Linked DNA regions of Drosophila melanogaster. The protein of the gene in region 2 interacts with the protein of the main gene of each other region in a pairwise test. Each region holds a gene or a part of one and is shown on either strand. Other genes may lie near its edges.

The links.
Region 1: the proteins of CG13124 (region 2) and CG3342 interact in a two-hybrid assay, tested with the Drosophila melanogaster proteins (one large-scale study listed by BioGRID).
Region 3: the proteins of CG13124 (region 2) and caup interact in a two-hybrid assay, tested with the Drosophila melanogaster proteins (one large-scale study listed by BioGRID).
Region 4: the proteins of CG13124 (region 2) and CG33017 interact in a two-hybrid assay, tested with the Drosophila melanogaster proteins (one large-scale study listed by BioGRID).

What each region holds. Positions count from the first base shown.
Region 1 is NC_004354.4:6,524,879-6,530,796, reverse strand, and holds CG3342 (uncharacterized protein), read left to right. Parts: upstream 1-2,908; 5' UTR 2,909-2,993; coding exon 2,994-3,046; intron 3,047-3,120; coding exon 3,121-4,429; 3' UTR 4,430-4,691; downstream 4,692-5,918. Other genes in the region: Agxt (Alanine-glyoxylate aminotransferase), read right to left, coding at 128-299, 368-1,230, 1,532-1,681; CG3918 (uncharacterized protein), read right to left, coding at 5,071-5,918.
Region 2 is NT_033779.5:9,902,215-9,911,835, forward strand, and holds CG13124 (uncharacterized protein), read right to left. Parts: upstream 6,420-9,621; 5' UTR 6,211-6,419; exon of another isoform or gene 6,094-6,210; intron 5,642-6,093; 5' UTR 5,394-5,641; intron 5,334-5,393; 5' UTR 4,837-5,333; intron 4,230-4,836; 5' UTR 3,960-4,229; coding exon 3,819-3,959; intron 3,758-3,818; coding exon 3,661-3,757; intron 3,078-3,660; coding exon 2,924-3,077; intron 2,870-2,923; coding exon of another isoform or gene 2,839-2,869; coding exon 2,613-2,838; intron 2,545-2,612; coding exon 2,068-2,544; intron 2,003-2,067; coding exon 1,790-2,002; intron 1,728-1,789; coding exon 1,503-1,727; 3' UTR 1,165-1,502; downstream 1-1,164. Other genes in the region: Muc30E (mucin 30E), read right to left, coding at 1-844, 901-903; Etl1, read right to left, coding at 7,025-7,651, 7,710-8,012, 8,072-8,218, 8,275-8,542, 8,603-8,935, 8,995-9,557.
Region 3 is NT_037436.4:12,606,630-12,613,192, forward strand, and holds the start of caup (caupolican), read left to right. Parts: upstream 1-3,001; 5' UTR 3,002-4,139; coding exon 4,140-4,190; intron 4,191-6,563. UniProt on the Drosophila melanogaster protein: Controls proneural and vein forming genes. Positive transcriptional controller of ac-sc (achaete-scute). May act as an activator that interacts with the transcriptional complex assembled on the ac and sc promoters and participates in transcription initiation.
Region 4 is NT_033778.4:16,269,746-16,279,482, forward strand, and holds CG33017 (uncharacterized protein), read left to right. Parts: upstream 1-2,368; 5' UTR 2,369-2,566; coding exon 2,567-2,896; intron 2,897-2,959; coding exon 2,960-7,522; 3' UTR 7,523-7,910; downstream 7,911-9,737. Other genes in the region: Khc (kinesin heavy chain), read right to left, coding at 49-508, 1,594-1,740; cato (cousin of atonal), read right to left, coding at 8,044-8,613.

The DNA.
Region 1 (5,918 bases), on a different chromosome or scaffold from region 2:
GATGACAACAAATTTCACATGCCATATGTTTCAAACATTTAGCGAACAAAAGACAAAAGGAAGTACATTTAGTTTTCCATATTTGTTTTTATTTTATAACTAGTGATAGGAGCAGGGCAACGATTTGTTAGATTTTCGATAGATCCGTCTTGATCCCCAGCTTGCTGCTCTGAATGGCCTCGTTCAGGATGCTGAGCACCATGTCCACGCGCTCCACGGTAGCGTTTTCGCCCATTAAACCGATACGGAAGACGTGCTCCACCGTGGGACCCAGACCACCGCTAATCTCAACGCTGTACCTGGAAAAAAAGAAAGGATTCAATACGGATCTCTATCGAGGATTCGCGTCCAGTTGTACAATACTCACTTGCGCATGGCGTACTCGGCCACCTTTTTCCAGTCGACGCCGAAGGGCACCTTAATCGTGTTCACCGTGGGCAAACGCTCCTCCTCGCGCGACACAAACATCTCAAGACCCAGCTCCTCGATGCCCAACTGCAGTCGCTTGGAGCACTCCTGATGGCGACGCACCACCGCCTTGAGGCCGACGGCACAAAAGTGGGCCAGTGCCTCACGCAATCCGTAGAGCAGGGTGGAGGATATGGTGTGGTGGTAGATGCGGGGTGTGCCATAGCAACCCCAGTACTGACCAATCAGCAGGATATCGAAGTAGTAAACCTTCGGCTTGGTCTTTCGCTTTCGGATGCGGGTCAAAGCACGCTTGCTGAACGAAATGGGCGTTAGACCGGCGGGACCACCGAGCGATTTCTGCGAACCCGTGTACGCCACATCCACCTTCCACTCGTCCATGAGGAATTCGGTGCCGCCGAGCGAAGCCACCGTATCGACGATGAGGAAGCAATCGTACTTGCGGCACAGTTCGCCCAGCTCACGGATATTCTGCTGGATAATGCCAGTCGAGGAGTCACCCTGGGCAATGAAGAAGACCTTGGGTCGATGCGCCTCGAAGGCGAATGTGATCTCTTCGTGCGACAGTGCCCGGCCGAAACTCGCCTCCACGTAGTGAACTTCGGCACCATAGCGACGGGCCATATCCCCGGCCCGATGACCCCAGACGCCCGTGATGCCCATGAGCACCACATCGCCATCCTCGATCAGATTGCACAGAGCGGCCTCCATGCCCGAGTGGCCGGCGCCGCTGATGCACATGGTGGCATCGTTGAGTGTCTGAAAGATGTACTTAATGCCCTCCTTCACCTCGTCCATGATCTGCAGATATACAGAGATTAATATACAAACACCTGGCCATGCTCAGTGGGAATAGCTCAATTCATGGGGGGATCACTAATATTAGATTGCTATAAAGTATAAGAGATGTGCTGGTTTCACTCGACTGGCTAGCCCACAGATCTCTGACCCAGCTCAGCAAATGTATCTCAATGTTTCACTTCGTTCAGATAAGGTACAGTGCGGCCCATGAGTATATGGACTTGGGCTTAACTTTTCGATATAATTCGAGTATTAAGCTCAATCTTGCTAGCACTTTTGTGGTTTTAAGAAGATATTGTACCTGCAGGCATTCGGGATGCATGTGACCCAACACCGGATTGCTCATGGCCTCCAGGACGCGATGGGAACAGTTGGAGGGTCCGGGCCCCATCAACGTCTTGCTGGGCACATAGAGCGGTCGCTTGAGTACAAGTGGCGGTGGTACCTCCATGGTCTTTGTTCCCTATTTACGTAATCAGATCTCTGTGTTTACGACTGCCTTATCGCCTTCTGCTCTCTAATCCGCTGTGCCAGGTAGAATGGGTGTTACTACTGTTTGGTGATGGGAGTTGGTTTTTATGGGCTGTCTCTCTCGGTGGCTGGCCAAGATCGGACTGAAACGCTTGCCGGGCTGCTGGCCACTTTATAGCGCACCGGATCGCAGCTTATCGCCGCAATTTTCGCCGATGAACGCACTTGAACAAGTGGTAAATGATGCGCTCTCCCGCTTATCAAGGCATCAAGATCGAGAGCAACTGCGTCGTTGGCGGCACAGAACGAAATTTGGAATAAGAATAATAAGTTAAGACTGCCATTTGATGGGTCAAAAAATCATACACAGTTTTAAGACAAGATCTTTACGAAATAATATGACTTACTACTCAATTAATTTCATTGTTAATCTGAAAGAAGTACCATTTTTTGTTTGCAGTGTGCTGCTGCTGATTCTTTGAATGGCCTTGGGAAGGTTGGCGGACCAATGTCTATTGTGAAATAAGAAATCCAGCGAATTCAGCAAGACGAACCTTGACTGTGGGTACGTATACGTAATGTAGCAACTTCTTTTTCGAAGCTGGAAGCATCTGCAGAGTGCAGAGATCAAGATCTAGCATCTAGATCTTAATTCTCTCGAAATCTCAGCCCACTGACAACTAACATTTGGGTTGATAGCAGTGCCCGTATCGTCAGTTTTTCCATTAGCGATTTGGAGTGGAAAACACATCGTGACCAGGAGGTCAACCGCCAATAATACAAATGTCGTATTGAGTGGCCGAAAATATTTATTACCATTTCGCTGGTGGTGAAATTAGAATCAAAATAAAAACAAAAACATAGATTTAGGAAAGTGATAAGCAGTCAAATTAGCAGGTCGTGACTATAAAATTTAAATGTTCGTTTAAATATTGATTGATTTTTCCATATTTAAGGCACAAGCATCTTTTTAAAAACATTGTTTCGAATGTAGAAGTAAGTTCAGTTTGGTTTTAATATATTGAATTAATTATATTGAAACGAATTGAATATAGAATATATATTCTATTACAGTTGACTATATTAAACATATATATGTATAAATATGTTTATTTTATGGCCTTTTTGCTTAATATTTAGTTATAATATTTTATAATTTTCCTGAAAGCAATTCACCGGTGGAAACAAGTTTTCTTCGTTTTGGCGCTTGGTCACACTTTCTGTTTCGGTCAAAACAAACTGAACAATAGTTAATGTTTTTAAACATTTTCGATGCGACTGCATAATTAGGCATGGAAATCGGCAACGATCAGTCCTATCAGGACTTCTTCGACAAGTTGCGAAGGTGAGTCTGTTTCTGGACGGGATTGGGACACTTGGCACAGTGGTATATACATATTAAATATATATGAACTCCAGTGAATCGGGTCCTCGCAACTTGCGCCAGATCTTTGAGGACGACGATCGTCCGCTGGCGAACGAATCATCCAGCTTGCGCTATCAGCCAGGCAGCTCCAAAAAATTGCAGGCTGGCAAAAGACCGGCCATGACCAGGAGTAGCACCCAGGAGACGGGTGATTCACCGCCTGCCGCCTGGAACACGGCCATTGCCAAGGTGGTGCATGCCTATCGGAGCAGCGAGAACGTTGGACGCGTCGGCCTGGCCCTCTCGATTCTGGGCGAGATGGAGGCCAGCAAGCTGATTGTCTACCGCAGCAAGAGTCAGGTGCTGACCACGCTGCAGTTGACACCGCGTGGCGGCAAGGTGATACTGCGCGAATCCTATCTGCAGTTCTACGATGACGAGCAGCGCTTCTGGAGCCTGCGATTCGACAAGGAACCGGATGAGAAGGAATTCATAACGTTTATGGTCAAAAACAAACTGCCAGTGGAGCACTATCTCAGCGAGATCTCATCCTCCAGCTCGGCATCGCCTTCGCGTGAGGATTTATCTAAGATCCGAACTAAAGCAACGGTCACAAAGACGACGCCTAATCCGCCACAGCCGCAACCACGTTCCCGCGTAACGCTGCCAACGCTGGAGAAGGCGGACGATGAGGAACGCGAACGGGAAACAGAGACACCTTCCAATGAGGATGTGATAGTAACGCCAGTGCCGCGACCCATAGGTTCGTCAAATGCTCACAGGAAACTCAGTGCCAGTTCCCTGGCGGTGGCCAACGCTTCAACGAGCAGCGATACTCCGTTGGCTGTGACGACACTGGACAAATATCTAGACGAACAGCGTGCCTCGGGTGCGTTAATGGAGCACAAGATGGACGCCATTCTGCAGGCCATGAATCGCATGGGCGGCCAGTCGAGTGTTGCGCCCAAGAAGCCCAGTGATCCGCTGCTGGAACGCGACAGCGAGGACGAGATGCTGGAGCTGGAGCAGAAGCTGCTCAACTTGAAGCGGGAGAATCGAGCGCTAATGCGCAACCTCAAGGCACGCGAACAGGCGCTGGAGGATCTACGCTGCTCGGCGTGCGCCCTTTGCGAGGAGCTACTAGTCCAGAATGGCGAGCTCAAGTCGCAGAATGCCCAGCTGTTGTTAGCCAGCCAGCATATTTCCGATTCAAGCACAGCTGCTTCGCCTGCCCATTGCCGCAATTGCGAGTCGTCTTCCCGGCAAATAGCCAAAATGCAGCTACACATTTCCGCACTGCAGGAAGCGCTGCGAATCTTTCAGAAATCAGGCGACTCCAGCTCCAGTTCGGGTCGGTTATAGCACCTAACGTAGGCGTATTATATATGTTCGGTATTACTATCGAAAAGTGTATTAAATCATTTGTTAGGTCGCGTAACATATCCACAAATACAAGCCAGACACTATTAGCTATCTTTAAGTCATTAGATTGCCATGTTATTGGGCTCATTTACAAAGCGATTTTCTAATCTATTACAACTATTATTACTAAATGTGAGATATAAAATATGTTGCGGAAGATTATAATTAATAGCAACCCATGCTTTGCTCTCTCTCAATTATGAAAAACTCCGACTTCCTCTTGTACAAACTAATTTGTTGTATTTGCAGCACACATCGGGCTGAAATTTAAGGTATAGGGACAAGTCTACGGTTTGCGCGTCTCATAATCCGTGGGAAGAGTTCATGGAGAAGTTGTTTTGGGGCCTGGAACTGGAAGTGGAACTGGCAGTCTCTCTGTGGAAGTGAGGAGCGGAAAGGATGGGCTGGCGGTCCTGCTCCTTTACGTTTTTACGGCTAAAATGGAAAGCGAGCTAGTTTGCGGAGCGAGTGCTTTGGGAGGCAGCTGTCTATCCATCCTGATGCTGATCCAGATCCAGATACAGATCCACATCTAGATTCTCTTGCTGATCCAGTTAATCCTTGTTTGTTTCTTTTCTTTCTCAGTAGGTGCTGCTGTCGCTGAGGCTGCTCAGGTAGCTGCTGCCGGCGGTCGGAGCACCGGATCCGCCGGCACGATGTCGCTTCCGCTTCGCCTTGGTCTTCTTGCGTCGCAGCATGGCCGTGTCCGTGGACTTGCGCTTGTACTTGCCCTGCCGCTTCTTCTTGCGTCCGTACTCATCCGATTCACTGGTGCTGGACTCCTCGTTGTCGCTGGAATCCGATTCAGACGAATCGCTCGATGTGGAGGAGTCATCACTCGAATCATCGCTCGATGACGACGATGAGCTGCTGGTTGATGACGAGGAGGAGGAGGAGGACGACGACGACGACGACGAATCCGAGCTAGAGGTGGAGGATGATCGTCGTCGTTTTGACTTCTTGTTGGTGCTGCCGCTGCTCGGTCGCTTGCCTGTTTTGGTTTTGGCCAGCTCGCTGCTGCTGTTGCTGCTGCTATTGTTGGTGTTTGTGGTCTTTTTGTGCTTCCGGCTCCTCTTCTTGCCATGCTTCTTGTGCCGCACCGACTTCTTGTCCTTGCTCTTCTCGGCCAGCTTGTGGCTGCTCTTTGAGTGGCTACGCTTCTTGTCCTTGCTCCGGCTACCCTTCTCCTTCTCTTTCTCCTTCACCTTCTCTCTCTCCCGCTCCCTTTCCCGCTTCTTCGCCTTGAGCCTGTCGCGGCTCTTGTCCTTGCTCCTGTCCCGTTTGCCTGCCGCGGGAAGCACCGCTGGCTCCGTTGGCGGCGGCACCTCAGCGCCACTCTTCAGCTCCTGGGCTCTCAGTTCGGTGAGCGGCGTAAGGTAGTCCAGCTCCGAGTCTGAGCTGGTGCTCTCCACATCCAGCAGGATCTCCT
Region 2 (9,621 bases):
TCTTACTGGTGCTTGGCTCCTTTGTTGTTCTTTCTGTTGTTTCCCTCTTTGTAGTTGGCTCTCTAGTAGTCTTTGCGGTTGATGATTTCCGAGTAGTTGGTTCTTCAGTAATCCTTAAAGTTGTTGATTTCTGAGTTGTGGGTTCATGCGTTGTCTTCTTGGTTGCTGGTTCTGCTGTTGTCTCATGGGTTGTTGTCTTACTGGTGCTTGGCTCCTGAGTTGTTCTTTCTGTTGTTTCCCTCTTTGTAGTTGGCTCTCTAGTAGTCTTTGCGGTTGATGATTTCCGAGTAGTTGGTTCTTCGGTGGTCCTTAAAGTAGTTGATTTCTTAGTTGTAGGGTTATGCGTCGACTTTTTTGTCTCTGCAGTCGATTTAATGGTCGTTGTCTTCAGGGTTGTTATTAGCTCAGATGTGGATTTAATCGTGGTGGTCCTCAAAGTTGTTTGCTCAGTTTTTGGTGCTTCCGTTGCCCTTGCAGTAGTTGCAGTAGATTTAATAGTGGTTGCCTTTGGAGTTGTTATTTTCTCAGTGGTTGGCTCGTTAGTTGTCTTTTGGGTTGTTGGCTTGGCCGTCGATTTAATGGTGGTTATTTTTAGAGTTGTTGTTTCCTCACTGGTTGTCACTGTTGACTTTGTTGTTGCCAGTGTTGAAATCTTTGTGGTCGAATTATTGCCATCACCCGGACCAAATGGACAGCCCGGGAGAAAAGGATTTATCCAGCAGTAATCAGGATATTTTTCAGCCGATTCTGTAGTTGATTCGTCCCCAAACTTAATTTCACTGCCCTCCAGCGCTGCATTTGCAGAGTGATAAAGGGCAAGCCAAATAAAACAACTTAGAACGACCTATAGTTAAGGACAATATTGGTATGAGGTAACTACTAATCTTATGTTCGACTTACCATTGCAACTTGTCGAGCAAGACTCTGGATTTTTGAGCCTTAGTTGGTGCTTAAATAGGGAGCAGAATAAATGGCATAGCAGGCCGCTGATAAGGTCGTCCAGGGTCGTAGTTCAACAAAGTTCAACAGGTAAGCGCGAGTCATTATTACAAAACCAAAAAGATAAGTTTTTAAAATTTGTATGCATTTGAAGCATACTGTTTTATTGTCTTTTTGTTTGTGATGACCAATAATGCAGTGCCCCGCATAAAATAAACTTGCACCCTCGTTTGACTAGCTGTGATTTATTACACATAAATATATGGATTCACATAAATGTTGAGCCTTAGATTATAGCACAGTCCAAAGATATCGAATCCAAGAGTTCGATCTTATTTGGTACTGTGCTTGGTGTGTAGTGTGCAAGTCTCGGGTTAGTTTCTCTCTATAGCTGCTGCCGAAATAAATATTGCTTATGTCTAGGTAAGAATACAATAAGATAAATAGAACAGAAGTTTTCCAGGCCCTAAATGCAATGCGACAACAGAATCAATTGCTCATGGTGTCCTGATGCTTGCACAGTGCCCTTATCCCCGCCATGTCCCCAGCTCCAGATCTCGTTCCTAATTGTTAGTGTGCGTGTAGTAAAGAACCGTATTGCCTGGTAGCTGCCAGTGGGAGGCCTTCAGCTCGATGAGTTGGAGAAGAGTGCGCCGAATGGAGGCCGCAGATTCGCCGGCATTCAAAAAGGCATCGCGAACCAGACTCATGAGTAACTCCAGTTGCTGGGGCAACTGCTGCTCCATGTCCTGGCCAATACAGGTCAAAACATAAAACAAGCACTCAATCTGAAAGTTATGAATAGTAATCACATGTATTATTCCAACCACTTGATCAATCAAAAACGTACCTCTGAAAGTGATCTAATGGGTGGACGCACGCAATCCCCGCAACATTTGGAGAGCAGACTAAGCAGTACCAGTGGCGGAGGAGTGCCCTCGTGGTGGGTGCGTAGCTGGAGCTGCCGACGTTTCAGCTGACAAAACATTTCCGTAAGGAAGGCCATAAAGGCAGTGAATCGGACACGTGATGGCGACTTCATGCCCTGGATGGCAAACAACAGCTGCATGCGGGGTAAAAGATTTTTAAATATGAAATGATCATGGAAATTTATGCTGAATTGCCTACCTTCTCACGCTCCTGGTACCACTGACGGCATGTGTTGAGGAGCGCCTCGAGAAACGTTTCCTTCTGCTCCCGGGCAATGATGTTCAGACACAGTCGTGATATTGGCAGAGCAAAACGGCGACTCTCCACCGCGCGTTTGATGAACTGCGATGTCAGTTCCATGAGACAGCGAGAGTTCAGTTTATTGGGATCCTCCAGGGCCGTGTCAATAAGCGCCTGGATCTCTGGCGTGAACTGTCCTATGTCGGCCACCTCGTTGCCCAAACCTAGTCCCAATCCGGCCATTCCACGAGTAAGGGCATCCGCCGACGACAACGACTTGGAGCGTTGCAGTGCATTTCCATTCATGTAAGGATCTACTCCATTAATATTCGCCTGATAAGGCTGAGCATAGTTGTTGTTTAGTTGACCAAACTGATTATGCGAAGCCACTTTGTGACCTCGGGGCTCAGGTGCAAACTTTACACGATTTGTTGTCTGGAATTTAGGTGTTTATTTATTGAAATATTGTTTTTTTTTACCAATATTTTTAAATTAGAGCTCACGTGAAGTATATTTCCACTGGATGGCGAGTTCATTAGCGGCAGCTGACCGCTGAGGGCACCGGTATTGATTGGATACGTCACCAGGATCGACCGGTGGTTGGCCTTCAAGCCCGGCATGTTGCCGAGGGAGTGTCCGGCCTGGCGGCGATTCACGTTTCCGTACGGACCCAAACCCGGTGCAACTCCCACTCCGGGTCCATTGGTGAGCGGAAGTATTAGCGACGAACTGGAAGAATGTTGTAGACTGTAGTTTAGCTCTGCAAGGAGACGGGAAGAGGGGTAAACAATGGAATTAAAAGACTTTGCATTACCGGTTGCCGAGTGCCTCGGCCGGTGCCCCGGAGCTGGTTGTCATTGTGAACTCCTGGGCATTGACGTTCAGCTTGTTGGCGACACCACCGATAGCACCATTCGGACCATCACCACCGACACCACCGGCTGGAGCGGCTAGCTCTCCGCGCACATCTGAGACAGAGTCAAGTGGGGATTATTGTTGGGGAAGGGTCGGTATACCCAAGAGTGTATGTGATGATGTTGGGGGGTAGGACAACATTGTGTGGAGGGACGGAATGTACAGGGTATGAGACAGAGATATGAAAAGAATCAAAAGAAAAATGTGGTCTCAGTAAGTATTAATTGGAACTGATAAGCTGGCAGCAAAGAATAGAGCATCTTAAGCTGGGCTGGCTGAAGTACATATGTGACTATTGACATTTAATATTTACATTTTTAAATATGCTCAATCTCACTTTTTAAGGACTAAGCTGGAAAAAAAACGGAAATAGTCCCTATAAAATATGCCTATAATAAATATCGTTATATGTACATGTATGTTTTTGATTATTCAGTACCTTTCTCGTCCAAATGCATATATCTACACTTGATGTGTTTGTATTTCTAAGCCACCACTAAAATAATACCGATTAAATATCCTCGAAATATAAAAATTCTCTATTATATTGAGTTCTTTAACTTCTTTAGCACCGAGCACCCTGCCAAGCACCCAAGCGAATTAGAGAATTTATAACGAATGACTAAAACAACTCACTGGGAGGCCTGTAGATATCCATGGCTGGTTTGCCCCTCATCTGTCCCGTCTGATTGCCAGGTACGTTGAAAGCCAGACTTCGCCGTTTGTTGATATTCTGAATGAACAAACAATTATATAAATATGGCTGCTAATCGACATCGATATGGTGTACCCACCTGTTGATTTGAGGTGCGCACAAAGCTGCGTTCGCGGGAGATAACGCCGGGCTGAAATTCCGGTGATTTGCGCACCTTCCGCGTATCATTCTGTTGGCCATTCATGCTGGCCTGGGCCAGTAGTTCCACCTTTTCGGCCATCCTGCGATTTTTGCGCGAGTACTGCTTCTGCTCTATTTGGGTAAAACCTAATTGAAGATGAAAGCCTAATCTTTGGTAGATTATCCTCCGGTTAATCGATTCACAACTGGGATTCCGTCGAATAAACGTCTAAATGTGTGGCTTCAGTATTTGAGTAAATTTGTACATATCACAATAGTTGGTTTCCTTTCCTCCTTTATCGAGTTGAGTTCTCTTCTTAATACGATGTTGAGGGATATCTTCCCCTTTTGCAGATTCAGATTGCCGGGTCTGGAATACAATGAAAATTAATTATATACTTCAGCATATCGCATTATATTATTGTCAACATATATCAAGTAAGATACACAAAAACTCTTTAACCCACATGCGAGAGGGAGGCGCAAACTACTTGATCTTGTCGAGCAACCAACCGGCTTTATGGCCGAGCGTAGGAGTTGCATCTGGTTTGGAACCTCTGGCTAGAGCACTTCATCTCCGAACATGACATCAGCCCCCGAGTAATTCTTATTCTGCGGCCCACAAGAAGTCCGAAGTGAGTCTCCGCGAAAGATACATACGAAAGATACATTGTACAGTCAGGCCTCTCTACCATCTATTATCACAAAATGTGGCTTGAATAAATCTTTGACTCTTCTTACTTATATGTACCATCCACTTATATCAATAAAACAATGAACTTGTCAAAATGTGGTAATTAACGAACTTAGAGAATCTTACATAGGTTAACTGCCCTGTGAGAGTGACTACTATCATAGCAATGTGAACTTGCCTCGCTAATTGCTCTACACTTCCCATTCTCAGATTGCCAAACAGAGTGCTCGGAATAAGCTAGGCTGGTATTATGAATCAGCGTCGGATGGACGGATATACTCACCTTTTAGTGCAAAAATATTTCCTTCAAATTGTTTCGTTGTTGCTGCTGCTGTTGCTGCTTGAGCTTTTGTTTATCTCTGTCTATAGTGTATATATAGATGGGTTTGTTTGTGCGTTGTTGCTATTCGTCGATTCGATTGTTGCTTGGTGCCGCAGCTTAGTTGTTCGTATAAAGATATTTATCTACTTCGTAGATACGCTCTTTCGTGTCTCGTTTAATCATGCTTGGCATGCGCCAAGTCAAGCCGTAAACAGTGTCAGAAATAATTAATATTTCGAAGCGTCCCTCCACGCCCAAATAGTCCGCATATGGGGTAATACACTAGATGGTTATGGATTGCGGGCCTCTAGACACAGATACAGATGCAGGCAGATACAGCGGCAAATGCAAAAAAAGGCACAGATACGCATACGCATACGCACTCACACAAACGCACTGTGATCACAATTGATTTTAGTGCCTATTGTTGTTGCTTTTGCTCGGATGACTGGTGGCTGCTGTGCGAGCGAGAGGGCGAGATGAGTGATATGAGCGGGTGGCTCGTTAAGTATACGCACCGTTGGTATCGTCTATTTTTGGTTTGTCGCTTTGTGCTGCTTGTTCTCGGCTCGTTGTCTGCTCGTCGTCAATTATTACCGATTCCGTTTTGGTTTCTTAATTTTTGTTCGCGTTGTTGTGTTCGTTCGTTTTTCTTTTTATTGTGATTTTTCTCTCATTTAATGCAGATCGCTCGCTATTTATGTATATAATATAGTTATTGTTCGGATTACTCTCACACGTACACATACAAGCGGTCACTACACGCATACAGGCGCGGCCAAAATGAGGGGATTATTAATTGTTATTTATATTTTCCTATACTACTCTTCATGTTTAGCCTGCACGCGCTGTTTGTTTTCACCCGACTTGTGCGCCGTATTCTTTGGCAATTGCCAAAAACTGCTCACATGTGCCGCCGCATCTATATTTATAGTATATGACAGCGCTGCGAATGATGACTGTATCGCAGCACTATGTAGATACATCTATAAACCTATATGCAGTTGGCGTTGCTTCCGTTTCCGTTGGTCAAAAACAATAATATCAGCGGGCTGGCAGAAAGACAAAATAAAAAAAAGAACAGACTATTTCAAATTATTGGCCCGATTTATTTAGCGTTTTAGTCGCCGCCGCGGCACAATATGATTTCCGCTCGCAAACAGTTTGTCTATTTTTAAATAGAATTCAAGAAAGTATTCGGGGAGGAAACGTATGTACTTATGCATGAATCACATAATCCCGATTCGTAAGAGCAAAATATAAAGGATCGGGGATGTAATTGGATTTAAACACATTTAACTACGGGACAATGGAACCTTGGAATTTTGGTTTTACTTTAGGTTTCCATGGGTTCGTTGCTGTCGATCGAGACACTATATCTGCGGGGTATATCTATTTATCGATGTACGCCGTATTATGTGAGCATGTATGTATATTCGCACGTATGTATGTATATGGATGTGAGTAACGCTGCCGGCTGCTACACTGGGCGCAGGCTTTAACTTAAAAATTAAATCATCGGCGCGAGCGATCAGTTGAAGACTAAAGACTTGATGAATCGCCGCGCCAGCCGAAAGCTCTTCATTACAGTTGTGCTCTCTGGAAAGCGATTCTCCGCTTCTCTTTGCACCACACAACCAAAAGAATCTCGTGGGAAAATGCGAGAGCGATCCGTTTAGGGTTGTCGAGCGGCTCGAACTATAGAGCAAATATGTAGAAATAAATGAACATGATCGCATTCGTACACAAAATGATCTTTATCCTTATAACAATAGTTTCAATTCGATACATAAACAGAAATTACAGAAATGAAAACTAATCATGATGACAAATCAATAAAACAAGAATATTAACTTGTCTGCCTTGGTTTATCGTGGAAATGTTGCTGTTACTAATGAAGAAAAACTAATGTCGCCTCAACGGTGAAAAATTACTAACTCGATTTATGATCCACTTTTGGCATACCATACACCAAATCTCTCCTTGCATACAAGTTTAAAAAATATACAAATACAATATTGTTAGAATAATTCAAACGATGTTAACAGGATTTGACAGCGGTAGGACGATTAGACCAAGTTGATCAAATGCTCGCGCAGAATAAATACGGAGGTGGGGACAAGGACGAGAACGAGGACAACGAGAATGCCTATTTGGCGGGCGAGGCTATGGAGTTGTTTAGTGAATTGTTTAGCTGCTCCTCCTGATCCTTGTCCAAGCCAAGGGCTGTGGTCAACAGCTTGACCACACATCGCTGCTCGTGCACCTCGCCCTTCTCGTTGGAAGTAATGTCCTTTTCTAGTTTTAGCTTCTCTTCGGCGGCCATCAGGATGCCCTCCTCGATGGTACTCTCGGAAATGAGACGGTAAATGGTCACCGGACGCTGCTGTCCCATGCGATGACACCGATCCTCGGCCTGTTTATCGTTGTACGGGTTGAAGTCGATATCGTGAATGACACAGGTGTCGGCAGCCGTCAGGTTGATGCCAACGCCACCGGCTTTGGTGGAGAGTAGGAACACAAAGATGCTATCGTCCCCATTGAAGTCGGTGATCAAATCCTGGCGGACATTTACGGCGGTCGCCCCGTCCAGGCGACAGAAACCAAACTTTCGTATTCGCAGATACTCCTCCACAATGTCCAGCATCATGGTGAACTGGCTGAAAAGCAACACACGGTGTCCTTCTGCCTTCAGTTTTGGAAGCAACGTATCCAGGTAGAGGAATTTTCCAGAATCGCATATCAAATTATCGGGTATTTTCACGTCGTAAAACTCCTGAAAGATGCACAAATTTAGTCATTGTCATTGGACAACCTCTTTGATAGTCACTTACATGCTTGTTCATCATCTGATAGACCTGAAAGTCTGACATAACGGCTAGCTCTTCAAAGATGTATTGCTCGTTGGTCTTTTTAAAGGAACTGGCATTAGCCAGGCGCTTAGAGAATCCACGTAGATTGGCGTCGGTGAAGTAGTGACGCATCAGCAACGGATGGTTTGCAATGCGGCGCATCTCCATCATGATCGCTATGCCGGCCCTTTCGCTGCTGCTGCACACCTCGCCCTTGTTATTGGAATAATAATCGACCAGCTCGTGATAGTATATTTTCTGTTGACTGCTCATGGGCACTTTTTCCTTTAAATAAAAAACAATTTAATTATTGTATAATATTTATTTTCGCCCGACGTACTTACCACCAGGCTTAGCTTCTTGGGCAGGTTCTTAAGGACATCTTTCTTAAGCCGTCTGAGTACAAATGGCTTCATGATACGCTTTGCTCTCTGGATTTGTGTTTCCTGGAACTGTGAAACCTCATCCTGATCTCCATCGCTTTTTCCCTTCTGCAAGGAACATGAAGTTTATATATTGTTTTGTGTGAAACCAATCTTTGTTTTACCTTAGCAAACAACGATTTTATGTCCTCAATGCTCTTGGCAAAGAATTTGGGCATCACGAAGCAGAGCAGAGAGATTAGCTCCAGCAGATTGTTCTGCAGCGGAGTTCCAGTGAGCAGGATTCGCATCCTAGCGTTTATGGTTATAAGGTTAGCATAGCGTTGCGTGGTCATGTTCTTCAGCATATGGGCTTCATCAAAAATGACGTAGTCCAACTTGCAAACCCGGAACATTTTCCTCTCCTCCGGCGTGGATCCCACAATGTGATATCTGTTCAAAATGTACAAGAAATTTAAGCTTAGATTCTTTTATGGCTTTGTGGATATTTACGTGGTCAGAAGAACATCAAAGCCGGTAAATCCATCCTTGGCAAAGCGGCCTCGCATTCTCCTTCGCTCGTCCTGCGAGCCATGGTACTTCTCCACCACCAGTTCGGGACACCAGCGGCTAATCTCTGCCTCCCAATTATCCAGCGTGGACGAGGGCACCACAATTAAATGTGCAGCCTGGCTAAGACCATTCTCCTTTAGATAGGCCAGAAATGCAATAACCTGAATTGTCTTGCCCAGACCCATTTCATCTGCCAAAATGCCATTCATTTCTTGTTTGTGCATTACGGTGAGCCAATTAAGGCCAATTATCTGATAATCAGCCAGCTGTAGACTGCAAGAGGAACGAAAATAGAAACACAAATGGGGACATGCATGCTGGTTAAGGCTCACCCGCTGCTAAGAAGCTTAGGTTGCTCCACAATGCCAGCACCATTGGAAATCGCCTTCTCCAGACGCGACACCATGTTATTGCACTTACTTAGAATAGCGGCCACCGTGTTCTGTTTGTTAATCAGCTCTTGAGCGTAATTCAAAAGATCACCCGACATCCTGATGCTCTCCAGCTTTTGGCGCAAATCAGACCAATCACTAAATGGTCGCACATCAATGATGGCTAATGCCTTCTTCTCGGACAGCGTTTTAACTGACTGGAGTTCAATTAGCGAAGCCTCGTTCATAAACTGGAAAACTTTTTTACGTTGCCCCGTCATCTTGGTGGACATCTCGCTATCGCTGTCATCGCTATCATACACCTGGTCCTTGGACTGCTTCACATCATCGTCGTCCGAATGGTCGTTATCCGAGAAGTTGCCTCCACTAATTCCGTTTGACCTGGGTTTCAGCTTGGACTTGGCCAGTGGTCCATTGTGCCCCTTGGGCTTGCAGTTCTCCCTTAGGTATCGCACGGAAGCGGCCACATCCCAATTGGTGCGGGAAAGAGACTCCTGGATGGCCTACGGAACATATTTGAAATTTATTTCAGTTAAAATCGAGATTTATGCAAAATATTGCATTAAA
Region 3 (6,563 bases), on a different chromosome or scaffold from region 2:
CGCCAAACACTGATTGGTGGTGAGTGGAGCTCCCACCCACCGGCTATTTGTCGATAGAGTTTTCCGGCTCAAAAATGGAGAATATTATGCCCAAGGACTATGGCCAATTTGTAACAGAATCTTTAGTGTTGAGTACACCCAACATGGCTCCCCTTGGAGTCGTGGCTTAAACTGGACTTCCAACTCCAAGTGTGCAAACCCAAAACACAAACGAAAACAAATTCATTTAAAGCAATTTGCATGAAGAGAGAGAGAATCCTTTTTGTGCTTGTTACGGTGACTTTATCGTTTATCGTTTTGCGAAAAGGATTTTATTATATTCACCAGAAGCACTATCCTTTTGCCTTTGCATGTGTGTCTGTCTGTGTGTGTGTGTGTCTGTGCGGCAGAAGATTTTTCGCCGAGAGGAAACTGTATGTGTGAGTATCTGTGTGTGTGCCACATACTGAAAAGCGACAATTTCATGTCCAAATGCTTTCCAGGTGACATGAAACAACACTTAAGTAAGAAGCCTTTCTGGGGAAGGAGGTGGGGTGGTGAATATTCTGCCTGCAACTCTCTGTGCAACTGTATCCATTCCACCCACTCAACGCCCACCCATTCACTCACACACATTAGCAGTTAAATTTGTTGGAGTGTGTGTGCGAGTGTCTCTGAACCAACGCACCTGGCGTCGAAGAATAATATCTCTTAACGCCAAAATCTACATTTAAATTGTTTTCAATATAATCTGCATGTCCTGTCCACCGAGTGAGCAATGTTCGAGTGTGTGTGCTGCACTAAATGAAAGCAGAGCTCAGACAATGGGAATCCTGGGATCAGGACACTTATGGGCACGGGCTACGTGCTCCCAAGGATATGCGACATGTGCCACAGTTCACATGTCCGAAGTCATCAAACAAATCACTCAGAGATATTGATTCAAGGAGGTAAACACTGCAGAAAACATTCGATTCAATTAAAATATACTCCAATTAGCATGATACTCATTTTACATATTTTCTTAAACATTTAGTATTTATTTAATATAAGCTTATAATTATGCTAAATATAAATTATATATAGATTATTTGAAATGTTCATCTTGTGTATCTTCAAAATATCGAAACTTAAAAAATTACACGAGTATAGTCCTGCTTATTTGATGATTCAGAAATTGTTTTAATATATGATTACTTTACATAACGTTTTGGTATGATTGGATTGCATTTATGTTGTTTTCAATTGAAGAATAACTATTTGCAACTTTTAAACCAATCACAATTTGGCTCTTTAGAAATTCAATTTTTAAAAGCATACATTTTAAATTTCATGGATGAATTCTTTATTCTCAAATGCATTTCTTTCATGTGAATCCTTTCGTATTCCAGATCCCCAGACTCATGAAGTGGGTGTAGAATTTCGTGGCGCCGCCAAGAGCGTCCAGAAATTGAGTACCGATCAGGAGTTTGGGCATTCGGACACTTTTCCCAAAAATACCCGGTGCATTTTCATTTTCCTATGCAAATGACACATTGCTACACACACATTTACATATGCGTTCGTTTGTAAGTACCGAAAAAAGTGCCACATGTGCGTCTCTTTTGACTTTGAGATGCACTCGCATTTATAATAAATGGCAGCGCGTTAACACCCCAAAACATCAAAATACTCATTTTACAAAAATTCCCCAAAAACGTTCAGTTCCCCTCCCCACCCCGCCCGCTCCACATACCATTAATTAGAACGCACTCGACTCGAGGACCCTCAAATGGACCGGCCACGCCCCCTTCCTTGGATCGAATGGAATCGGATTGTTTGTTTGTTTTTTCTCCTATTTCGGTATCTTGTTACGATTAGCTAGTCCCAATTAGCTGCGATTTTCGTGATTTGGCCTTGAGATATTGGAGCATTAAGCACTTTTATGGGAAATGTACAATGCATATATCAAGCTATTTTTAAAAAAACACACACACACTGTAATGATTAAATGTTGTTGATGTTACCAATAACGTACGGATTAGTTTTCTTAAATAAAATTAGATTTTGGCTTTATATACTTGCAGACCTTCTAAAATAATTTAATTTGATTACTTTTTAGATTTTCCAAGTCCTTACACCACCCAAAATTTAAATGCACATTAAAATATCAAACTTTTTGTTTATTGGGAGCCAAGATAGAAAAGCAAATATGTTTATTAAAATATAAAAACATGCTTATATTTGTTTGCTGTATGTTATTTTTTGTAGTTTGATGTGACATAGATTATATTTATTTCAGCTGGGCTTATAAAAAAGGTTTTATGTTTTTGTTATTTTAATATTGAAAATTCTCTTTTAAAATTTCAAAGAATAATTGGAAGCGGATCAAATAAAACACTAAACTACTCAATATTAAAGAGATTGTATACCCACTCGTCTTGAAAAACATATCTTTATATGCCTGCAAATTTTCTTAAACATTATATTTAATTAATTAAATTAATGTTTGATTTTTTGAGATTGTAGAAAAATGTTCCAATTCTTCCCACGAATGTATGCCCAGACGTATTTTGACCAGTTATTATGATAGCAAATCTTCAGCAACTCTTTTCTAGTTTTTCCAATTATTTCTGTATTGTACTTTTTTATCAAAATCGGAAAATTCTTAGCCAACTTTGGCTACAATATCCAATTGGGAAGCCTTTCGATCGTGGTCCGCCATGAAATCGCTTCCAACGTCGACAGAGAGGGGTCGGCAGAAAGAGAGCGTCGACTTACTTTCCAGTGCTTGGAGGTGGGCGTTCTCAACGAACAAAGCAACAACAGCCCCAGAGAGTCTACCCTTCTCACTCGTTACCAGACCACTCACAGACGTGCAAGCGAGAAGGCTGCTGCTCGTGGCTGCCAGTCTGATTGGAACGCTGGCCAATGGGAGAGCTCCTAACTGGCTGGCTCTCTCGCGGCCCTGCAGCCATCCCGTTTACATCGCTGCTGCCATCTCTGTCACACGCAACCGCGCTGCTCGCTGAGCGGCCGAAAAACAGTTTGTTCCGAAACGCGAATAGGTGCGCATCTTCGCATCTTGGCATCTCCGCCGCGTCGCCCAGTAAACTCGAAAAAAGGCCGAAACGAAAGTACCGACGAACGAGTTACAGTCACCGGATAAGTCACAGTCGGTTATTGAGTCGCAGTCACTGCCGTCGTCACCGTGGAGATACCGCTGACAGGTTGGAACGGAACCCGTTTTTACTGGAGCATTGCCAGCGGATCGGATCGGCAGATGCAACCGACGTAGATAATGAAGTGCGTGCAATAGTTATGATAAAAGTAAATACGAAAAAAAGGGACCCGAAAAGACAGGCAAACCTCTCTAGAAATGTCTCGTTAAATATCAAAAGAAACTCGCCATAAATTCGAAACTATGTTTATTATTATGGATCACATATCAAAAAGTTTCCTAAGCTGACTTTAAAAAATTTCGATACAGTGTGGAAAAAACTGAAATACCAATCAGTGGGTAAACTCGCAAACCAAACTGACACATTCTTTTGACCGAAGACTGAAGAGCCGCGTACATTTGTAAATCTGTTTGCGGCAAACACTTGAATCCAATTTGCTTTGCCCGGCTGTCGTCTGTGTGTGTCTTTTTTTAACCATTTTGGTAACCGGCCGCCAAAGAGTCAAACAGAGTCAATAAAAATCAAGTTAAAACGGATGAAAACGGACGAGCGAAATAAAACAGCAAAGTCACACAAAACAAACAAAACATTTTCCGGCTCCGGCGACATTAACAGAACTGCTCGACATCGACAATTTGTTTTATCAATTTTCAACAAGGCCAGCCAGCAGCAGCAACAACAACAATAGCACAACACCCAACAAGCCAGCAAACAACAAAAGCGCCCAGAGTGCTTAGCCGTCGAGCACGCACGCCAAATCCGCCCAGCCACCCAACCCAACCACCCACTGGCCACCCACTTGAACCTCCCTTAAGCACCCAACACCATCCCCACATCCTTGGCCACCCCTTTTTCGAGGGCTCCGCCAGCATCCGCATCCGCAATCGCAAAAAAAAATAAGAAAACAACAAGCAAACAACGAGGGACGCCCCACAGTGAAGCCCCGGCACAGTGAACTCGCGTGTCGCCGCTCTTTAGGCCAACTCAGCCAGCGAGACAATGGCTGCATATGCGCAGTTTGGATACGCTGGCTACCCGACGGCAAATCAGGTGGGTTTATGCCGGTGGTTTGTTTAGAGATTAACAGTTAACCGTTTTTTTTAAGTCTGTATTGATTAGTAAGCAAACTTAACTTAAGTTTTAAACGGTTATTTAGCACAGACAACAATTTTAAGGAATCTTTTAGTATGGATCCAATATTGTATCTTATATATACATTTATATTTGCTTTGAAAATGTTGCTCCCTTTAGATTTTGTCAATAATATATTCAATTTTAAAAGTAACAAATTCCAAATCAATTAAAAACCTTATCCAAATTTTTTTTTGTAATCTCATAATTTGTGTTCAAACTGAAGGCCATAAATACCATATTATAAAGAGCACTTTGCTTACAATAATTATTGTGAATAGAATCTGAAGATTTATAAATACATTGATTTAAATTGAGTAGAATGCGAAAAACCAGTTGAAAGAGCAAATTTCTGAATTATTGCTACTGGGTGCCTTAAATTTAAATTTAAAACAGATGGCTTAGTCATAACAATTTATATTGGCCATGAAATTAAATTTATTAATTTCGTTATATGTATTTATTATATTTTGATTTACAGCTGTGCCATTTCAATATGCAGCCATAACTTAATCATTTCAAGAGACACTTGAATATACTATTTATTTAGTGCGGACTAAAATAATATTTGGCACACACACAAAAGATGTTTCATAAAACCAGAAACTGAGTCAGTTGAATATTTTGGCATGTGCGAAAAGGGAAATCTTTAATAATGGACGGTGCGAAATAACTTTAAATTTACATATTAAGCCGGCGGGTTTGGGGAGCAGCCACTGCACATGAATATTCAAGCACTTTGGCACCGGTTGGGGCTCCTGGATCCCTATATATATACATACATATATATATAGATATATATATATATATGCGGATATAGCCATAATGGCCGCCCCGCCGCCAAGAAATGTTTCACAATTTAGGACAGCCGTCACCGCCTTGGATGCAAATCGCTGGTAACCGAAGGGGGGGGTCTGGTGGGGCATTCCGGTGGCAGTGCATCGTCCGAGGTCTGGTCATAATTACCCGGTATTCGGAGCTCAGTAATTCAAATTAGTTGGCCCAAACGGGGGGAAGTGAAACACTTGCAGCTACAAAGCCCTTGCAATGCCTGTGTAAGCCATGTTCAACGACTACTATGTGGTCAAATGCGTCAATGCTAGTGCGTTTATCCTGCTGCCAATTTATGTACATTTATATATATACATATGTATATATGTGTGTATGTATACAATATTCCTGACCACGGTGGCTGGCATAAATTTATGCTAATGAAGCCGCCGGCGGAGTGGTGCACCATTTATTATAATATGCAAACTTGGTAAATTACAATAATTAAAATAATGAACGTTCAGATTATCGACTATAATTATGGCTGGAGATGTGCAAAAAGCCTTTTGCCTTGCAATCGATTAAGAGCCAACAGAATTTTGTCATCGTTTTCGGCTCATTTGCATACGTCTACTAAAGCCACTAAAAGCCACTAAATGCGACTAAGCCACCAATGAAAGACTGGTCAGTTGATATGGCATTCGGGTGCCAAATTTATGCAGTGCACACACTCGGGTTCTCATTAATTTAATTTTAATTTCGACGCCAAGACGGCATTCCAAATATAAAAAAAAACGACAATATATAAATTTAATCAACGGCTGACAGTTGGCAGTAGCAAAAGAACTTGCAGGCACATCGCACATCGAATTCTTAACTTCCCATGCGAGCTGTTCACGCATTTCATGGCAAAATAACTAAAATTCTAAGGCAGCAAAAAGTGCGCGACGATGTCGAGTCCTGGATTCACATAGGCTCCATCTGAAGCCCCCCCAAATTCCCCATCTCCATCTCCATTGGGACGCAAAAGGACAAGCCCGTAAATGATGCGAGAAAAAACTAATATTTCGCAGTGTGCATTCCATAATTGATTTATGAATTTTTAATGCAAACATTGAGACCGCAGTTGAGTTGCGAAAGAGTTGTTCCACTGCGAACCATAGTATTCTGCGCCCCAACTTAATTCAATAAGCAAGCCCCACAAAAAACCGAGCAACTTATTCGCATTAGCAAAAACGCACTTTGGAGCCAGTCCCTTTGGCCATTCAATGCACGGCGAGAAAAAATGTGGGCAATTGGTAGGGGCTTATTCTCAAATTTATTTTAATGACATAGAAGCGAAATAGAAGCATAAATCGGTAAACTTAGCTGTTCACTACCATAAAACTTATATCCATACCTTTTATTTAGATAACAAACATAAATTCTACATAAATTTAATTCATTTTAAAAATTCTTATTCAGGAAGGTTTTTGTTTAAGTAATGTTTCTACAAGTTCTATATAGATATTTAAATAAATT
Region 4 (9,737 bases), on a different chromosome or scaffold from region 2:
CTTGTTTGGCTGAAATGGTCCTGACCATCGATTTTAATTAGTACTCACTTGTCACAGCGATGTGACGATTGGATTTGCCCTCCTCGATCACCTCGAAAACATCCTCCGGCGACGAGACGAACCGTTCCGTAGCGCCCTTGACGTACGGCACCCGGTTCTTGTCCTCGTGCACGCTTAAGTTCACCTTGGAGACGTCCAACAGATCTCGAATCTTGTCCATGTAGATCTCGTAGTAGGAGACCTTGATGTGAAACTCCAGGTTCACCTCCATCGCGTAGATGTGATTGAAAATGTCGTTGACGATACGTGGTATGATACCCTGTTTTACGGAGTCCCCGATCACGCCCTCCATCGTATGCGTTTTTCCGGAGGACGTCTGACCATATGCGAATATCGTTCCATTGTACCCGGCCAGGACATCCGTAACAATGGACTTGGCCGCCTCATTGTAGACCTTCTCCTGGGATGCATTCGGTTTGAAGACCTTGTCGAACAAATACACCTTGCCCTGCAGACGATGGAGATTAGGTTTAGTATAATGTGTTTTTTTCTTTAGTACATAGCAGCCAGTTACATTAGCTATAAACTGGTGTCAGTTGCGGTGAAATTTCTTTCGGAGATTCATTCCCCCTGTCCCCGATCTTTTCCCGCTGACTGCCTTTGAATCATTTTCAACGCATGGCCGCGAAGCAGATTGTAATTATGAGCATTAAGACATGTTAAGTGGAAGGGGGAAGAATAGTGAATAACGAGCGCCAGAAGAAAGCCACAGCGAAAGAGAGATAGATAGAGTTAGTCAGAGAGAGAGAGAGAGCGTAATGATAATGTCTGTGTATGGAGGCACTATATTAGTGCTGACTTTTTTGGAACTGGTTCAATTGCCCAAGCTTTACCAGGAATATGACGGATTACACCTGGCGGAAAAGCGGGAAATTCAGCATAGCATACAAAGCAATAACATTTCATGTGGCATAAAAGCAATACAGCCAAATTCCATTGCCTCCAAAGTTGCTCTTATTGTTTTTCCTCATATTTTTTTTTTTTGTATGCTTTGCGTGCATGACTCATTGGCGCGCGGACAGGGGAGTGGAAGTGGAGCGGGGGCTACCGTCAATGTGTGTATGTGTTTGTGTGGAAATGTAAGTGAGGTAAGCACTGAAGGCGGACTGGAAACTAGAAAAGCGCATATTTATGCGGCCCAAAAGAATGGAACACCCGCTTTTAGCAGAAAACCGTCTAGTGGGTGGCATTTCTCCACCCCGTCATCGCGCTTCTTTCGATTTACACACCCTATTCTTTTTCGACTGGGGGAAAATCAATTTGGTGCAAAGCAATATTGATTTGGAGTAAAGTTAGTTGGTTTCATCATATACATGTATATGTACATCTAGTTTTGTTTTGTGCAATTATTCATGGGTAACTTTAGTGCCTCTCTCTTTTTATCGCCTGGCATTCCAATTGGTCGGCAATTTTGGGGAAGGGTAATGTACGCTAATAGGCATGACGTCATGGCGCGGCACGCCGAGATTAATGCATAACACATAGGGAAAAGGCACTGGGGGCTGGCGAAAACTATAGATCTGGAACACATACCGCTATGGATATGCAGTTCTCCTCCACATTGTTGGGGAACTTGACCACGAACTTGGAGCCGGCCTTCTCTTCGCTGTCGTTCAGCGGTCGGAATCGGCAGACCACTTTGATGCTGTCCTCGGCGGGAATCTCTCGTTCCGCGGACATTGCTTACAGGGCGGAGATAGATCTTTCTGGCGGAGATTGTTGGATTTCTGCAGCTCTGGGCGCGACCTCTGCGCATGCAGCTCACTGTTTACGTGGATAATCAACGGACTCGCTATCGTCCGCACTATCTGCTGTTCACTGTTTGCTTGTGCCGATTCTGGTACTCCGTTTGGCCCCTTTTGTTCCGATTCTCTGCTGATTCCGACACACTCGCGAAAATTGGGTTGGGGGCGGCTCAAATAAGAAGATGCAGTGAAAATTTTGTGGTTATACCAGACACAAAAGTTGAATTGGTCAAATGGCGATAACGCTGGAGCGCAACCTCGATTCTGACTGCTCCGCGTCGTACTGTTTTGCACTTTTTTGCCCGGAATGATTAAGTGCAGCCGCTAAATGCACTCGCATACGTTAGTAGGTCGGAATTAGTTGCACTCAAAACTATTTTATTATTCGACTATTATTTTCGCTACTGTGCGCCAGTGTGACCGTTCTGCTCGCCCAGCTAAATACCAATCGCCATTTAATTGCACAATAATACTGAATTAATACTCTCAAAAGCTTCGAATGTATGAGACACCCTGCAGATCTTGAAAATGGTAACGGCATATAATATTCCTAATTAAGCGATACCGTTTAAAAATCATTCAAAAATTATTCAAAATTGCTTGTTTATTGTCACTTTTGTTTTTCCTGTCCAAATATTTCGGCTTGGGCGCAATATATAGCTCCAAACTAGGCATACAACCTCTGTAGGTTCAATAGGAAAACGCTATGGAAGATTGATCACCGAGTCGCTGGAAAGGATTGTGGAGAACAGAGGGGCACGATGGCACAGAAGGATATTACGTCGTATTTGAATTTGGAGCGATTGAAGAAGACGCAGAAGCTCATCCGACTTTATCGATCGAACGAGTGCCTCTGGAATCCAAAGTCACCTGGTTTCCATAGTGGTTCTGCGAAGGATGACGCCTGGCGACAAATCACCCGGCGGATGAACTGCGGCCTGACTCCTGACCAGGTGGAGCTGCAGGTGCTCGGTCTGCGGCACTACTACTCCAAGGAATTGGCCGCCATCCGAAATAGTCAAATTGAGGGTTATAGTTATAGTCCAAGGTACTCCTACTTCGAGGACTTGCATTTCTTGGGAAACTTGGAGGTGAGTGGATGGTTTTTGCACTGGATATTGAATAGTGAACCATTATCTTCTATTTTTACACAGGAGGAAGCTAACTGTCCCATTAAGGAAGGACATTTCCCACCCAATTTTTCGGAGGACACATTCATATCGCCTCTAGCTTTTTTAAGTCCCAGCTGCAGTGAAACCAGGTGCGGGTACACCTTCTACAAGATGATTCTAGAGCCTGAGCCACCAAATGAAGAGTTCTTAGGTGTGCACCATGAAAGATCTACGTCCGGCAATGATCGGTGGTATCCCACTGCGTACTGTGTTCGTTGCAAGCCAGAGGAAGACGAAGATCCTTGTGAAGCGTGCGAGCTAAGAGGTCAAAGCAGTCGTCCTCAATTCGGAAGTAAGAGCTCTTTAGAAGGCGGAGAAAGCGGCAGTACCAACCCAAGGATGTCTAATCGGTATCAGGAACAGGATCAGTCAAATAAATTCCAAAAAAGTGATAGCAAACAGTATCGAACTGGGAAACCATGTTCATGTCCCACGAAAGACAACCCAGAAAAGCGTTCATCGCAAACGCAACAAAATGATGTGTACGTCGGTGCTGACAACTGGGATGGTTACGAGTCCGTCGGCAATGGTATACGCAGCGATAGATGGCCAGGTCCCAGACTATGTTCCCAAAAACGCGGAGAGTGGAAGCCCAGGTTCCGTAAAGTAATCGGCGAGGACAATCAGAAGTCGTGCTGCGACAGCTGGAAGCGAAATAATAATGCCGTGTGCGGGAGACTTCTAGACCAGTTGGCCAAGCAACAGAATCAACCCGGCAGTTACTCCGACGATGGAGACTCCGTTCGGAATCAAAGCTGCGGCTGTACGAAGAATCGCCGCCAGTCAGGCGAGGATCAGTTAAACGTAATGCTGTTGCAGAAGAAGTATAGGGATCGGACTTTGTCGAACAATGCAAACAATCCTACCACCGATCGACACAGCAACACTCAACCGATTTCGGATCAAACTTACTATAACACCAGCCATCCAGTTCCGAACTGTTGTTACTGCACTTATAACCAAGTAAATCAAGACGTTCAGCGCTGCAATATCCATGGATGCCAGTGCATTTACTGCAATCAAACTGTGCCTCCCGCCCACGGTAACTACTACCAACCGCATCATGTCGATCAGAATGCCAGGAACTATTCTCGATCAGCTCCACCAGACGCTCCATATGATGAAACGGTTTACCTGAATGACTACGGACGATCTATGTATCCGGAGCCACAGCATGTGTATTGCATCAATGCGGAGGATGCGCCCACAGATGTGTGGGTACAGGCACAGTCCCCAGATGCCTCTACTAACCCATCCCAGATGCCCATGGCACCGCCTTCAAAGTCTTGGAATCAGGAAAAGGCAACTCGGCCGCTTCAGCCAGCCAAAAAAGGCAATGCCACAGCACCGCCACCTCAGGACCCAATGAAGACATATTCTTCAAAAGCTAGTGCATTAGAAAAGCATGAGCAATCTGGACAGAATCTTATCCCAACTGAGCAAACTAAATCGATGCCAGAGGATTTTCAATCAAAGACCGTGCAAAAATCGAATGATCAAGGTGAACGATCCAACTTAGGAAGAAGATCCTACGGATCCGAAAGTTCCAATTACAACCAAGGAAGGATTCAAAATGAGGAACGATCTCGCAGGGACGGTCCAGATCGTCCTGACCAGAAGAAATATATATGTGAGGATGATAATTGCCCAGTTAATAAACGCCATCAAAACGAGGAGCGTCCTTCAAAAAGGCGATCTCGTAAAGATGATGAAGTTGGTAATAACCATAATTCCAATTATGAAGATTCACCTCCCCCACGACGAAGAAAAGACAATGCCGATGAAGCGAAAAATCAAAAAGTTTTCCAACTTCAAACTGATGACTCCCAGTTAATGGCATGTCCCGCGTATGATCGTCGTGATCCTAAGGAATGTCCCCATTTAAAATGTCCTAGTCCAAAACACCGAGAAGAAGGAGTAGCTCGGAACTCAAGAAATCGCGACTACGAGGAGAATAATGAACGAACCTCCAAGTCTAGGAGGAGCAGTCCTTTGAGAAATACTTACAATGAAGAAGAGCAGCAGGCTCCCAGAGAAAGATCCAGTAGTCATGGCCGGGAGGATAATTTTAGGACAAAGAGAAAATCAAATGAAGAAACTAAAAGATCCAAAAGAAGATCCGATGAAATCTGCAATGACGAAACGTGTCCATTTGGAGTCTTTACATCTAGGCAAAATAAATACCAATCCGAACGTCGAACAAGAAATAGTGGGGAAAATGAGTACTCTAGACATGGCAATGGAACGAATCCGCGTTCCAAAAGAAGAGATAATGATAATCCATGCAATAATGACACTTGTCCATATGCCGATTCCTTGGAAATTAATATGGCCAGGTCGAGAAAACATAGCGATCGATCTTATTCTAAAGAGAATGACGAGGAGGAAAAAATAGCAAGGAGATATAGGAGTGAATCCTCACCAAGAAGGCGATCGCGGGAAAACGATGATTATGAAGATACCGCAAAAAGCTATAGAAGAGAAAGCGATAAGTATAGGAAACCAAGAAGAGAAGATCCTGACTATGATTCAGATTACAATGAATATGGACAGAGAAGATATAACAATCGCTACAGTGATAATTATCCTGAATATCGTACTTCTATAGGAAAGCCAAACAAGTACTCCAAACGAGAGCACAGAAATTCACCTTCTAGATATGCTGAAGGACCTCGTGAAGATTACCGAACTGAATACAAATACAGAAACCATGGAAATACTTTAGAGGATTGTTATTGTGACGATTTTGAATCGGATGAATATGATGCCAATAATCCATATGATGCCTATCCTAGAAGGGAGAACGCTACCGTTCGAAATCGAAATGCTCCAATGGAGTACAATGGAAGAGAATCTTCAAGAAGACCCAAACGGCCCTCGAAGTATGATAACTCGGAGAGCGAGGATATGCCTTACAATAAGTCAGAGCGCATAGATACTAATCGAAATCGTAATGCAGACAATATCACAACGAAAAGGAATCCATCCTATTCCAGAGAAGCTGATCTATACGATTCAGCAGAGGATGACTGCTTCTGCAGCGATGAAGAAATCCCCCACGCAACAGCAAATAGGAACTCTCGGTCGAGTAGAAATGATCGCAGGTCATCAGGTCTTGCCAACAATGGAAAACAAGATAGATCCAGAAGATCCGAAACTACCGAATCCCGAAGAAATGAATCAAGGAATAGTGACAGGGCACCGGAAACTCGTCCTTCAAATAGGGATATAAAAGAAATACAAAATCCTAATAATGCATATGATATAGACATTAAAAATAAAACGCACGACGTAGGTGAATATTCCAAGAACGACAACAGGAACGCTAATCATAACAGTATCGTGAGCCCAGTCTCTGACGATGATTGTATTTGCGACGTGGAAAGTGATCCGAAAGATCCCAAGTCAACTGTGCCGGAGAAACGAAATCAGGCTGGCAGTATATGCATAAATCTAAGCACATCAGTGGAAGACAAAGAACATAAGATGCAGTCATTTGGAAAAGCCAAGAAAACTGCAGAACCAACGGTTATGGTACCCAAATCATTAGATGCCTCTAACAGATTGAGGGAACAAAAGGAGGGCAAGACAAAGCTAGTAACCACCAGTGAAAACCAGTCGTCATCCGCCAAGAAGAATATCCGCGCCAAAACTGGAATATCGCCCAGAGTGCAATCGAGATCCACCAGCCCCGTTCGCCAAACAGGAGCTACGAAGATTCAGCCAGGAGAGCCGGTCAAGAGACGAACGACGACTAGAAGTCCTTCCCAGAACGCCGCCAAGAGAACAATGGAAACTCATGCAGCTGCCAACAGCAAGTTGCCCTTTGATCTAAATTCTGCCGCCTATTTTATTTGCAAGTTACAGGATGAAGGTAACAACCATCAGTACCTGCTTGTGGTGCCCAAGAAGCCGATTGGAACACCCGATGGCCACCGGAAGGCCCCAGGACAGGAGTCTGTGAAGCAGCTACACTGCCCAAGGCAGTGCTCCGGCTTTCAGAGCATGTCCTGGGACGATTCGGCGACCGCGACCCGATCCCAGCCACCTCTGCAATCCCAGGCGAGTGGTGGCCTTTCCATACTGGGCTCCTTTAGGATTCCACCAGTGCTGGCCAGCACAGCGCTGGGCATCATCAAAGAGCATCTCCACAGGAACACCGTGCTTCAAAAGCCAGATGCCAGAGAAAGAGAAGCATTATATCCACCCAGAAGGATGCGGCGCATTCTTATGACCAGACCGATTTCAAGGCCAAGGAGACCAGTACTTCGTCCATCCCACAAAGCTAATGCTCCCATTCTGAAGGAGAACAGAACCCTGCTGCTCACCAGCAATCCCTTTCGAAACTTGAGCTTCAGCGATCACAATCGAGAAGTTATTGTCCTGCATCCGCCGGATCCTGGCTTTCGGCCATCGAAAAACTCCTTCAGCAAGGGCGAAGTGGAGGTGCAGCACATCACAGTGCCCAACGAAGATACCGTTGTGAAGCCCGTGCCACCCACGCCACCTACGAAACCCAAAAGGACATCGGTGATCAATCCATAGCTGTTATGTCCTCACACAAACTCGCCCTCTCGTCATAAAAAAAAAAAAACAGCACCCAACCGAAGCCGAAGGACTCAGCTGCCTTTTTTATTCAATGAGAGGAGTTTTGGCCAGGAGTTCAGGGGTGTCACGCTACACCGCCCACTGTGGTGGCTTCGCAGTTTCGGAATCGTTCGGGGTTAGACCAAAACTTGAAGTACGCCTATCAATGAACTGTTGAGTAATTAATTTATGATCGTTTTTGAAATCATTGAGGCGTAGCCAAACGATCTGATGGCCAATTGAATCTGGGGATCTGTGAATAGTAGTGGGCTGGTTATAATTGGTAGAAAGGGTTAGATGAGTAGCTCATTTTGGATTGAACACTTGGTTCACAATCAAGCGATGCGTTCCATGAATAATGCCTTTGAAATTGAAATTATTTTTAGCATTCAATTAAACATTTCAATTTATTTCATTACATATTTAACTTAATCTACAGTAAGAAGAAAATCACATAACTTTAGTCTAGTATCATCCATCTATGACAAGGATCCTCCGCTCAATCCAAATCCACTATCGCTGTCGCCGAAGATGGTGTATGCAGCGGCATCCACTTCCACGTCCCCGTTGTTGAGAAGATCGCACAGCGCCAGGATGTAGGACTGGGCCATCTGGAGAGTCTCGAACTTGGACAATTTCTGGTCAATGGACGGAGCGGGCACCACTTCCCTTAGGCGCTCGAAAGCCGCATTCAATCCATTCATCCGCTTCCTTTCCCGCGCATTGGCAGCCTGTCGTCTCCTTTTCTGGACCGTGGGACTGAGATTGGTCTGCTCTGGACTGCTCTTCCTACCGTCCGATCCTGTGAAGCTGTTACTCCGCCGTTTGGTCTGCGGCTGGGTGTGCTGTCCTTGCGCCTCCATGATGGGTCCTAGTTCCGTTTGAGTTCCGCCTGCGGCATCCAAGAATTGCCATTCCGGCGATAAGAAAGCCCCCTGTCCGTAATCCTGGCCAGAAACTGGCGGCAACTGGGTCAAGTTGTAGTTGGGACTGCCCAGGTACTGGGAACTGCCATCCTCCTCGGAGGCAGACGAGTAGTAGTAGCTCATTGCAGATCCGAGCGGCTTGAAAGTTTCGTTGCAACTGAAACGATCCGATCGGATCCAGACTTGACTACGGTCAACCCCCGCGAGATGCATTCTACAAATATTTTCACCGCCGTTCTGACCAAGTTTGTGTAAATGGCCCGCAAATGACCCCTGGCCCCAGGATCCTCGCAGCTATTACCATGGCCCGGCCAAAGGATCTCCCCGAGGAGCTGGGGTGACTTAGGGGTTAGATATGTTTCCCTCCCTTTCGCTCGGTGGTGAAACGCCTACACTTCGCCTGTTGCCATCTCTTTCGCGCCAGGCACGCGTCATATCTTGCCAAATTGGTACTATCATGCCATGGGATCTTCCCCTCTCTCTCTCTCCCTCTCCCTCTGTCGCCCATAATTTGTGACTTTCACGCTCAACGGCACACGAGCGTGTGGAGGGGTGGGGGGCTCGGAGCTCGCGAGGATGAGCTACTGTACTGGTTGGCATGGGCCATCAATTAACCCGCTGGCGAACTGCATTGTGGCTCGCGTCTAGTGACCATATGCTGTACTCTGCTGTGCCGTGCTGAGCTGCACCGACCCGACTTTGACTTCGGTTAGGAACCAACATATGGTCGATGCCCATGGCACTCAGTGGTTGCCTTTGGTCCTGGAAATTTGAAGTCCTTGGCAGGCACACGACATTTGCCGTCTAGCCAGTTGTCGAATCAAACTATTAACTCGAATTGAACAGATCTTTCCTTTACTATTAAGTGGCTATGAAAAATAGTCTATTGATGCGTTTGATAATTGCCTTATGTTTCACAAAAATATCTTACTATTACTATAACCATACCATATATATTATGTTTTGTTTCACTACCAAATATGTCTTCTTTTCATAAAGCGAATCGCCAATTATTCAGTGTAAAACATGCTTCGTAAATATGTTGAATAAAATTAATTTTGAAAGGAAGCATTTCATTTATTTCATTAACTAAAAAATAAGTTTTCCCAAAATTCATCAAATGTGTGCCAAATCTGACAAATACTTCTCCACTTTATGTGATTATTGTAAAGTCATTTATATTTTTTGCTGGCCGAATATCTTAAATATGATATTCCTTTGCTCTCAATATTCTTTACTTTTAATCC